2 linked regions of the Oryctolagus cuniculus genome follow. The protein of the gene in region 1 interacts with the protein of each later gene in a biochemical or structural test. Links are inferred from orthologs where the notes say so. Each region holds a gene or a part of one and is shown on either strand. Other genes may lie near its edges.

Region 1 (6,070 bases):
TGGACATGGCAGTTCAGATAAAGCTGTGGTACTTGGAAATAAAGCATAGGTTCAAGGACTCCCCAATTTTCTCCTCTTTGGAGGGTCACTTGGGGGAAGGCAACTCTAATCTCTGAATAGTATCTAGTAGATCCAGTTACACAAAATGATTCATGCTCAAAATCGAATGTGTTTTGTTTCTAAAACACCTAAGTGGCTATCAATTACCAAGGTAGGTTTGGGAAAGAGAAGCTGAGGTTGATTCTGTAAGAATATCTCAATATTCAGAAGCTTTTCCTCTCTGCCTTTTTCTACCTGATGATAGAGATGGTTCTCTGATGGTTCCTTTGTGAACTTTCCATTGTACTTCACAAAGCACTAGTGCATGGTAAAATGTTAAACAGACTGGATATAAGACCAAAACGTCATCTTGGGTTTGGAAATCACAATGAACCTTGTTCTTTCTGCAGTTCCTATGAGGCCAGCATAATATGAGATAACCTGCCTCCTCCACAGTGCCTTTAACCTCATCCCATGAGCGGGATAAAAAACCGTCAGACTTACATTCATGGTTAATCAGGTTTTCCAGTGATTCGGCCCATTTCTTGACTTCCTCTTGACTCACCCTAGAGACATTACAGAGAAAAAAAATAGTTTGAATTTATGATACAAAAAACTGGGGCAAGCAATCTAAGACTTAATAAAATGTAGAGATTTTATTTTTTATCATCATGAACAGCTCTATTATTGATTAGATCATGTTTTTTTTTTTTCAGTAAATATGTGGGAAAAAATCTCCAATGTAGTTATGATTTCCATGAACATGGGGGCCATCTTGATCCAAATCTGGCTTAACTAGGGGCATACTTTCCTTCTTTTCTTATACAACTCTCTAAACTCAGATAGTTAAAACTCAATGGGCTTTCATCCAGGCCATTTCTCTTACCTCTGGCAAACAACCACTTTGTCCTTCTTGCTGTGGGAGGAATTATGTTCACAGGAATCTGACTTCTGCAGCAGGAAACCCAACCGATGCTTCATATCTTTTGCACTGCACAGAAGAGGAAAGCAAGGGAATTAACGATGGTAACCACCTGTCTTAAGACACCTAGTGGTAGGCTTGAAGAATTCATTAGTAGCATATAGTGCAGAGACAGTTAATTTAGGGAATAGGAGATGAAGTTGGCATTAATTCTCAGGAAAGCAACACTTGTTTCTGCCAATGAGTTAATGCACAACCTTGAGATGAGAGTCATAACACTGGTTTACTTATCTATAATTGGAATTCTGACCCTTCAATCTGTCTTAGAAGCCCGTTCTGTACACATGCCATTTTGGTGCAACAATGAAACACTTGGTATCATCAATATAACCACACAAGAAGACATGACTGTTCTTTGAGTAATTTTTAGGAGTTAGAAAGCAGCAGTAACTGCAAAATTCGACACCTTTTTGCTGCACGCCCCCTTCTGGTGGTTGGTTGCTATTGTCATCTGTCTCCTTGCAGGCAGAGTAAGAAGCTCCTTTGGAAATTAAGGGTCTCTTTCTTTCCATCCAAATATGTGATGGAACAAGAAATATGTGTTATGGGGTAAATATGGAGTACATACTGAGGTGTGTAGCTTCAGAAATGGAGTGGTTAACGCAAATGCTCAGGGTGAAACCCACGTTCCTTTAGATTAGTTCTTCCAGACAATATAGTGCTGCTATTGCCTTCTTTTTTAATATTTATACACTGAAGAAGCCATCTAGAATCACTCCTGAAACTAGTGATTGCGATTGCGGGCAGAGTTTCTGGTGTATTGCCATTTCATAGGTGACCAGGCTATGTCAGTACTCCTCAGTAGCTCAAAAAGGAGGCCCAGAGATAAGCTTTTACCTCTTCTCTTACACTACCATGTTTTTGCTTGTATCTCTTACTATAAAAGCTACAAAATAGTTAAAAAGAGAAATGATTTTAAAAAGAAATGGATAGCTAAGTGTTCCTACTTGTAGGGGGGAAATAAAGGGTAAAAAGAAATTTTAGAATGGTTATTGATATACTAAAGGTTTATCTATGTCGGCTTCCCAAGAAAGTTTGAATTCCATTAGGTCCTTGGACTGCCCCCTAAATGGTATTTTCTCTTCTTCACATGACTATTTGCCTTTCTCTGCTTTCTCAACTGGTGACTGCACAGGGATTGGGAAATTCTCCTTAATGATAGCAAGATATATTCCTGAAGCCTAGAGTGGTTCTAAGGTGATGGCATGAGTGTATTGTGAGTCAATGTAAATAGAAATTATTCCGTACTACCATGTGCCTCCTCTGTTTGAGATCCCATGGCTATTGACTGCCCAGTGTAGGGTCATTTCCTAATGAGTTGAGAGTATGCACAGAAAGTATCCTTTTAACGTAATAAAACAGTACAAATAAAAACGAAAATCACTTCAGAAGTCACTGGAATGAGGAACTGGATGTGATCTTCACTCACACACCCCGGGCAGTGGGAAGTCCCTCCGGAAGCTCGGGCACTGCTGGAGAAAGTGCTGGACTAGATGATTGACGTTTCCCCTGTGAGGAGGGGAAGAACAGCTACCTACTGACTGTGAGCTTAACCTTCTCAATCAGTTGCTCAGTGCCTCAAGGGCAGACCTCTAGCACAATCTCCCATCTATGAATCACTAAATATTTACTGGAGCATAACTTTTCCCTGACACTTCTGCATTTTGCATGATTAATTTTATATGTGATTTAACTGAAGCGTGGATGGTCTTGCTCTATCCAGTTAGGAAATTAATGGTGAAGGTGAGAGGTATTTATCCCATCAGTACTCTCTACCAGAACCTCCTGCTTCATTACGGAGAATATATCAATACTGTCCTGCTTCTGAATGAAAGGCAAATGGCTTCAAAACACACAAAAGATTATGCTTCTTGGAATTAACTCCAAATTGAAATGTAAGGTGATTGTTCTTTGCAGGGAGACAAGAAAAGAGGTAGTACACTTGCAGATTGACTTTTTACCTTTAGCTGCAAGATTAAGTGATGTAATACGCTCTCATTTTGTATTTTACTTTCAACTGATGAATATCTAGCATTTTCTGAAATCATCTACTTACGCCTATTTAAAAAGACAGAAGAGTAGCTATATATTTTTAAGTCTTTGTTTTTATATTGACAAAACAATCTCTTTAGGATGAGCTCTTCTACAGAACCCTCAGATGACTTGTTATAATCAATACTCCTTAACTACCACTCACATAAGACACTTTAAGAATGAGAGATAAGAACAGAGAAAAAAAGAGACATGTAGCATAGAAACTATTTCATTGTGACATTTGTTTATGAGAATATAGAACGATACTGTAGCCCCAACAGAAAGCATTGTGGCTTTCTGATGATGTAGCACAAGTTCATTCCGAGGTGTCCTCCCCTAAATGAATTTCAGAGAGTCACAGTGCTTGCAATTATCCAGGTATGCTCACATAATGGAGGTGATCACAGATACAGCAAGTAGAGTCAACACCTCATATGATTCTTAATCAGCACTAGCTTAGTTAGAGGACTTGGCTAAAAGATCACAACAGTTTTCAAAACTGAGGTCACATGAAACAACACACTAATATCAGAATTTGGGAAGCACAGTTCTTAAGTCACAAATCAAGTTATTCTTGGAGAAAATCCAGGGAAATATTCTCCCCTGATCAGACTGCTACTCCAAAGAACCAGGTTAGTAAACACAACTAGCAAGTAACTGAGAAAGTCTGTCCAAAAGTTGAACGTAGTTAGTAGCTGAAAACAATCTTACCTCCTCAAGCAGGAAGCCGGCAGACCTGCAAGCCCTTTGCACATCTTGTCTAACAGCGTGGGATTCGCCGAGGAGGAAAGAAACGCAGCAGGAGGAGCTGTGGCCTCTGTTTTGCTCAAGCTTCGGTTTCACTCCTGCAAAGATGCTGCCAGAATCCTGAGCTTCTCCTTTCCAGGCCTGTAGGGGTCTCTTTTATAGCCCGGCCACGAGCGACGAGCCAATCAGATAACAGCTCTGCGGTACCAGCGCCTGTCTCCTCTGCCTCTCCAGCCCCTGGAAGGCAGGAGGAAGAAAGGACTTACGCATCAGCCATGCAAAATGGACAAGCTGGGAAAATCCTCTTCCAAAATAGACATACATGAAAAAAGTGACTCAATATCTCTACAAATGTCTGTGATTTTTAACTTCTAGAGACGGGAAAAATAAAAGTCTACAGTGTTGGAAAATATGGGAGTTTATTCTTTTGTCTGTAAAAACAGTATCAGGGACAACATTGCCTCCGGAACGGAAAGGTGCCAGTAGGAATTCTAAGGCACACTTTGGGGGTTGAATCTCAACACACTTTCTCTTTTGGATGAGAAACATCACATTGTATGTGACCCAATATTTGACCTGCTCGATTTCCAAAAGGCAGGTGGGAGGATCATCGTCTCCGAGAGATGATTTCTCCATTGCAAGACACACGGAGGTGTGGGGAGAAATAGCTAAATGGCAGACAGGAATATGCCTGGCAGCATAGAAAAGCTGGCCCAGGAGAAATAGATTTGCTGCATCTGTCATCAAACTGACTGTAGAATACTTTGCTCCAATTCTTATTAAGAACAGAATTCAGCCCAGCACTGACAATTTCTCCTGTACATGCTTGCCTCCTGCAAAAAGCCTCAAATAGCAGCCTGAGGTCCAGGGCAGCAAGGAGATGAATAAATATAGATACTGATTCTTGTTAGCAACTGTGTTCATGTCTTATGTAATTCTAAGCTTCTAAATTGGTATTTCAAGAGGAAGAAAGGGAGGGAGAGAAGGAAAGACAGAGAAAGAGAAATGCTCCAGAGAGCAGGCAGGCAGAAAAATATGGTTTGCTTTGCCTATTACCTGGCTTCAGGGTTAGCATAAGAATATTCTGCCCTGCAGGTACTTCTGAACACCGAGACTATTAGTATCTTTTGCATGTAATATCATAGACTGAATATTTTAAAGAATCATGCAGGTGTTTCGTATCTTACAATCATAGCTCATGTACACTAGAACTGCAGAGAGTGCTTCTTTGTATCTGAAAGCTGTGAGTACAAGGGGGAAATTAAATACCAAGTCTGACCCAGACAGCTCTCATTTTGAAAGCAGGTAGATTTCTGACCGCAAGCTACAGGGAGCTGTGCTTTACTTAGAAGAAACAGAGATATCAAGTAGTTCAGGTGGGAAAGATGAAAAATAGATGGGAGCCAGTAGAATGCAAAGAGAGTGCGAAGACAGAATGCAAAATGGAAAAGAGCTGTACCTGTATGTCCCCCTTCCCCCATTCATGCCCTTGAAAATCTCAAGCTGCCTCCACTCCCCCTCCCCAGCTAGCAAAGAGATGGTAAACAAACATAAAAAGGCTAAGGACTATAATCTTCAGAGGATGCATTTAGATGGTAGGAAAAAGCTTTGGCCTTCATGCAGGAAGACAAGAGAACATTTATTAGATTAGCTACTGGACAACTTTTCCTTGAGTTATAACACAAAACAAATGAAAGTTGGCAGCCATTCGTGGTGATAATGTGGAAAAAACTGCAGTGTCACATGAATTAAGAGAGCTCGTAAGACCTAGAAAGATGGACCCAGGGATATGAGTCAGGCAAAATTAGCATCAGACAGGAGAGACTAATTAAAAGGGAGAAACGGTTACTCAAAGATGGATCAGGGCTTCTCTGCTTACCTGGGTGCCCAGATGATTTGATTTTCGGACAATGAGTGAGGATCCGAAACAATTTACTGATGTCTGAGAATTCACAGTAAGAATCTTGTGTCTTGTTCCTAGTACAAGAGAAGCTCATTTGTCACAAGTTAAATATAAATTGTTGCAATAGATGAGCTGAATAGGATTTTTAAAGCAATCAGATCTAACCCCTCCATTTTACCAAGGAGAAAATAGAGAAGCAGAGGGGAAATGATTTGCCACAGCTCCTTACTAAGAGAGACAGGTCCAGACTGGCTTCCTGGTCCCAGGTCATGTGGATTTTCTACAGGACTCTCCTATCACTCAACAGTCTTGTCAAACGAGATACACTGTGTAAACAGAGATATTTCTAAATTGCAGAGTGCTAA
Region 2 (5,895 bases), on another chromosome or scaffold:
GGGCAGCCCCTGGCCCAGGACACTCACTATGCTGTGACCTCGGCCCCACGCACCCCTCCCCGCCTGGGCAGCCCCTGGCCCCTCGCACCCCACCCTGCCCTGGCAGTCCCTGACCGGGACACTCACTATTTGGCAGAGTCATTGAGCTGATACTCCCGAGACCGGTTGAAGCACTCCTGGATCCCTGAGTCACCCCAGAGTCGCATCATGGCGGACAGCAGTTCTGCAGAGAAGGGCTCGGTGTCTTCCATCCGGCTCACCACGTCACACACCATCTTGGCGTCGGCCTGGGAGGGGACACGGAGATGGTTTGGAGGCCTTGGCGGTGACAGGAAACCCCTGGCCAGCCAAGGGCCCCACCTGGCTGGGACGGGGCGGGGGCTGGGTTTATGACAAGGCCCCCACCAGCACAGCAGCAGGCTACCCAGGAGAGGCAGGAGCTCTGGTCTCCGAGGGCCTTGTGGAGCCTCCTCCGTGTGGAAGCCCTGGCGCAGGGGGCCCAGACCACTGCCCTTGGAGTCCGAGGGTGTGCGTGAGCGGAAAGGGAGGCCGGCGGGCTTGTGTCTCCACCCTCTCAACCACCATCGCTCAGCTCTCGCCTACTCTCGTAACTGGGTCTCTGCACGCTACTTTTGCTTGGGGGAAAAATTAAAAATCAATATCCTTGGCTAGAGTTACAATTTCCTACACTTCTTACCCAAGGTGGCGCAAAAGCCCCAGAACTGGGCTACACTGGGGGAAAGAGGAGGTTTCTGGTTATTTGAGAGCTAAAGTTAACTGAGGGTCACAGTAGCCCGGGACCTCAGGGTGGGCGGGGCAGAGGGCTCAGCGGTCAAGCCAGCACACCTGGTGAAAAGCCCTCAGGTCACCTTCAAACCTCAAGGGGCTGGTGTCTGGTGCAGCTTCAATGCAGCAGGTTAAGCTGAGACAGTTGCATTTCTCATGGGAGTGCCGGGGGTTGGGGTCCTGCCTGTGCTTCCCCGCCAGCCTCCTGCTAATGTGCACCCTGGGAGGGGGGAGACGATGATTGAAGTATTTGGACCCCTACCGCTTATGTGGGAGACCCAGACTGAGTTCCTGGTTCCTGACTCCACCCTAGCTCAGCTCTGGCTGTTGTGGGCATTTAAGGAGTGAGTCAGTGGATGGAAGATCTTTCTCCTTCTCTGTGCCTCTGTTACTCTGCCTTTTAAAATAATAACAATAGAGCTCTACAAGGTACCAGGATGCACTTTGCACCAAAGCCATACCACATGTGTGTGTGAGTGTGTATGTGTGTGTGTGTGTATGTGTGTACATAATAAAACGACTGGATGAATTCCTACTGACTCCTCTGTGACCTGTGGCCCACCCTCTGGGAGGGGCTGTAGCAGAACTGCTTTAGGTACACTGTGCAGGCAAGGACAGCACTGGGCCTGCAGGAAAGGCTCTGCATAATCCACGGGCTTCTTCTCCCTTCCCCTCATGTTTTCAGCGGCTGTAAGTAAACCTGCTGGAGACTCACAAGGCTCTGGGGGAAGTCACACAGCTGCCATCTCTGGCACTTGCACACACACACGGCACTTCACGGTTCAAAAAGGGCTTCTGGGCACAAACATTCTGCTTCCTTTTTTAAATTTGAAAGAGTTAAAGGGAGAGGGGGAGGGAGGGAGGGAGAGACAGAGAGAGATATCGTCCATCTACTGGTTCACTCCCCAGATGGCCACAACAGCCAGGACCTTCTTCCGGGTCTCCCACGTGGGTGGCAAGGAGCCCAAGCTCTTGGGCCATCTTCCACTGCTTTTCCCAGGCCATTAGCAGGGAGCTGGGTGGGAAGTGGAGCAGCCCACATGGGACGCCGGCCTCACAGGCGGTAGCCTTCCTGGCTGTGCCACAGCGCCAGCCCCACATTCCGCTTCCTCACTAGGGAGCTGGCAGCTGCAGCAATGGGCATGTTTCTTCAGCCCTCTCTGAATCTCTGCAGGTGCACTCCCTAGAGGCAGAGGGTGTTCCCATCTCCTTGACTCTGAGGATAGTCACAGGCCTTGCCGTGGCCCACGGAACGGCGTGGGGGCAGCAGCTTGTCCCTAAGGCAGCCCTGGGGTCTCCGTGTACTCGGGGCCTATATCATCATTGTGAACCTGCCCAGCCTTCCCCATTCACCCCAGAAAGAGGAGCTGGGGTGCATGGCACAGAGCTGAACCCACCCTGGGTCTTTGATCCTCAGCTGAATCAGTGACTCAGTTTGGGGAGGCCTGTTAGCATTGCCGCAGCAGTGCCAAGCACTCTAAGTACGTAATCCCCATTTGATAGGTGGGGAGCCTCGGAGCTCCAGAGAGGAAGGCACTCGGCTAAGGCCACGGTGCGACTGGCAGAGCTGGCACTCGAGACTCAGAGCCTTCTGCCTCCACGGCCGCCGCTGGGGGCAGAGCTATGCGTGCTGAGAGCAGTCAGGGCCCACACCTCTGATGGCAATGACACCTGATGGAGGAGCTGGGAGTGGGGCGGCAGGCCCTCTGGGGTGGAGGTGTTGTCCTCGGGCTGGGTGCAGTGGTTATCACTGGACGATTGGTCCACTGCGAGCCCGCCGATGAAGGCCGAGGAGAGGCAGACTACACGGCCCAGGACACGAGTGGGAGGTACTGAAAACCCACAGGCCTTTTTTGAGGGCGGGAGAGACACAAAGGGAGGGAAGTCAGCAGGCGTGTGGTCAGCAGGTTTCCGTATCGAAGGGGTGGGGCAAAGCCCTCTAGGCCTGCTGGCCACACAGCCACTCAGGTGGAGGGTCTGTCCACGGCACAGGGTCAGTGGAAGGGTTGTGGCAGTGGTGCCCCTGCCTGCCCAGGGAAGGAAGTTGCCCCTGGCCTGGAGGCTGGCCAGACACGCCAACCCTGCTCACTCAAATCCGGTTCCCTGGGGACAGCGTCCTGAATGCCCAGCCCTTGGGTTCCCAAGTCACCCCCAGCTGACAATGCGGGGCTGCCCAACGAGACAGCCTGGCTCCCCAGGGTCAGCACTGGGCTGCTGAGTGCCTGCCCTGGCGGTGGTGACCTGAAAGGTGGCCGTGGGGCCTGGGCTCTGGGTGCCTCAGGGAGGCAGTGGTGACTCAGGGAGGCGTGGGCTGGAGAGCAGGGGTGGGGCCTGCACCTGGGGCTAGGAACAGAGCGAGGCCTGTGAGTCAGGGCACTGCCCCCACCCTGCCCCCCGGTGCCTGGCTGACCTCGGGCAGTCTGGTGCTGTCCCAGGCCAGAGACTCGGCCAAGTCTTCCAAGCTTCCTCCTGGGGCCCCGCTGTCAGGGTCTCGGGCAGCCCAGTTAGAAGGCGGCAGCATCCAAGTGCCAGGGGAGAAACACCCCCCGCTGGGCACCCCAGAGCCATGGTGCTACGGGGGCAGTGTGGTTCTCTCTTCAACTCTGTGCTTTCTGCTCCTGGGCTCGCTCCTTGAGGGGCGACTGGAATGGATGCCCTCCACGGTGGGGGGGGGGGGGCGGGGGGAGCTGCATTTGATGATTCCTGGACTCTGCCGCCCAGCCCGTGGGCCAGAGCCCTCCTCCCTGCCTCACCTCCTCATTGCCCTGTGCAGGGGCCGGGGCGTGGTCCTGTGCGGCAGCACCCTTCGGCTTCCTGTTTTGCTCCTCATCTGGCGGCACCGCTACGGGCCCAGCTTCTGGAACCCATAGGCCTGGAGCCCTGCCGGACCGATCCGCCTTGAAGCCTCCCAGGTCCGGGGTGTGGTGCCTCCGTCCTGCCTCTCTTCTGTTTCCCGCCAGGCCAGAGGCTGTCGGTTTCCTCCTAACATCAACTCTCCCCTTCTCCTTCCGGACAAGAAGCCCAAGAAGGAAACACACTGATGGCCACAGACTACATTTCCCGTTTTGCAGCGGGGCGTCCTTGGGACTGGTTCTGTGCAATGAGATGTACGCTGAAAGGCAGCGACGGGTTTTAAAGGGAAGGGGCACCCTATTTCTCTTACTTCCTCCTCCTAACGCCCAGAACTTGGGTGTGATGGCTGGAGCTCTCCAGCCGACTTGCATCATGAAGACAAGGTCCGATCCTAGGGAGAGTGGGACAAGGATCTCCAACCAGCCTGGCTGGAGGAGGTGCGGCACTATCTGGAGTCAGACCGGCATTATTTTAACGGTTTTTCTTTTGTCCACTTAAATTTCTATCTTCAGCTCTCTGCTGTGGCCAGGGAGTGCAGTGGAGGATGGCCCAAGTGGTTGGGCCCTGTACCCCATGGGAGACCAGGAGAAGCACCTGGCTCCTGCCTTCGGATCAGCGCGGTGTGCCGGCCGCAGCGCGCTGGCCATGGCGGCCATTGGAGGGTGAACCAACGGCAAAGGAAGACCTTTCTCTCTGTCTCTCTCTCTCACTGTCCACTCTGCCTGTCAAAAAAAAAAATTCTATCTTCTCAAAGCCGCTATTTTCAGGGTCTCTGGTTCACTGTCAAACCTAACCCTCATGGGTACAGTAATACTCCTGCTTAAATTCTTCCGATAGGTTCCCATCATTCCTAACTCGCAAACTCCTCACTGAGGCCTTACGAAGTCCCTGCCTCTTTCTGTGTCCTAAAACCCTCTCAGAGCTCCGGTCCTTCTTCCGCTCCCCAAACGAGCCGGGGCAGCCCCAGCCCACCTCCCTCTCAGCGTCCCCTTCTCAGCGAAGCCCTCCCCTGGCCCCAGGCCAAGCTGCTCCACAGGGTGCACCCATTCCTGTCCCAGCTGCTGCTGCTTGCACCTGTCCTCAGGGCAGGGACTGTGTCCCGACCTCACGTGGCACCTTGGGCCTTGCAGTGCTTTGTGCATGGCCAGGGCAAACAGATCTCCTGCACTGTAAGGCCAGGCACGCCCCACTTTCTGACTCCGCCGCCCCCATCTGTCCACTGCCTCTTCTTATCTTGTCGGTCTGGACAAAGCTGGCATCTCACTTCAACATCGCAGCCGCCCTACTGGGGTGGGCACCCTGTGTGCGTGGGTGACTCGCTCAGGGTCACACAGCTAGTCAACAGGAGGGCCTGGACTCAAAGTCCACCTTCTCCCCGGCATCCCGAGCCACAGCCCTGGGCTTGTGTCTCAGACAAGGCCTGGTCACCCGAGGCCAGCACTGAGGCCTCCCTGGCGCTCAGCCCAGCCCCTTGAGCAAGGGGGAGGGAGGCTTGGAAGGGAAGGGGGGCTTTAGTGCCCAGCCTAACAAGCAATGGACAGAACCAGAGGAGGCCTTCGTCCCCCCCCCCCTATCTGCATGCCTCGGGGCCAGGGCTCCTGCTGAGCTCGGCCTTCCCATCCCGAGCGCCTCCTGGGCCAATAGCAGGGGGTGTTTCCCAGCATCCTCCCTGCTACAGCCCCTGTGCACCGCTGTGCACTCCCCCTGAGGCAGAGCACACCTGCTGTCCAGGCATCTGAGCTATGACTAAAGACAGGAGTGCGGCCAGGGCAGACTCGCTGGGTGCTGGGGTCTGAGTGTGTCCCCCAGGAATTCATACCTTGCGACCCTAACCCCAGTGAGGAGGCGGGCAGGTCACAGGGTGGAGCCCCCGCGGGTGGGATGTGTGCCCTCGGGAGAGGCACCAGAGGGAGCCCTGCTGCTGCCCCCACCGGAGGCCCCAGGGCGCTGCCCCTCCCCAGACCCAAGCATGCCCACACCTTGGCCTTGAACTTCCCAACCTCCAGAATGAGGGGGGGTCGTGTTGTTTCTAAGCCCCCCAGGCTGTGGTAGTTCGTTGGAGCAGCCCTAATGGACAGACTCCAGATGTGACCCACGGGAGCTGCACCCGTGCCCTCTCGGGCAGCCCTGCGTGCTCTCCACCAGGCAGTGCTGCAGGGGGCGGGCAGGGAGCAGCCTCGAGGCGGCGCCCAGGACTCGCCCCTGCCGACACCCTTTCTGCCAGGCACTGGTTCTCCATCCCCCTGAAGCCTGAGC

Evidence for each region.
Region 2: the proteins of RGS4 (region 1) and GNAO1 form a complex in vitro, tested with the Homo sapiens proteins (2 studies listed by BioGRID). The link is inferred for Oryctolagus cuniculus from reciprocal best matches to the Homo sapiens genes RGS4 and GNAO1.

Annotation. Positions count from the first base shown.
Region 1 is NC_091438.1:35,610,451-35,616,520, forward strand, and holds the start of RGS4 (regulator of G-protein signaling 4), read right to left. Parts: upstream 3,931-6,070; 5' UTR 3,811-3,930; coding exon 3,767-3,810; intron 1,031-3,766; coding exon 926-1,030; intron 606-925; coding exon 544-605; intron 1-543. UniProt on the Homo sapiens protein: Inhibits signal transduction by increasing the GTPase activity of G protein alpha subunits thereby driving them into their inactive GDP-bound form. Activity on G(z)-alpha is inhibited by phosphorylation of the G-protein.
Region 2 is NC_091449.1:40,103,300-40,109,194, reverse strand, and holds the start of GNAO1 (guanine nucleotide-binding protein G(o) subunit alpha), read right to left. Parts: upstream 4,105-5,895; 5' UTR 4,014-4,104; coding exon 3,540-4,013; intron 288-3,539; coding exon 127-287; intron 1-126. UniProt on the Homo sapiens protein: Guanine nucleotide-binding proteins (G proteins) function as transducers downstream of G protein-coupled receptors (GPCRs) in numerous signaling cascades.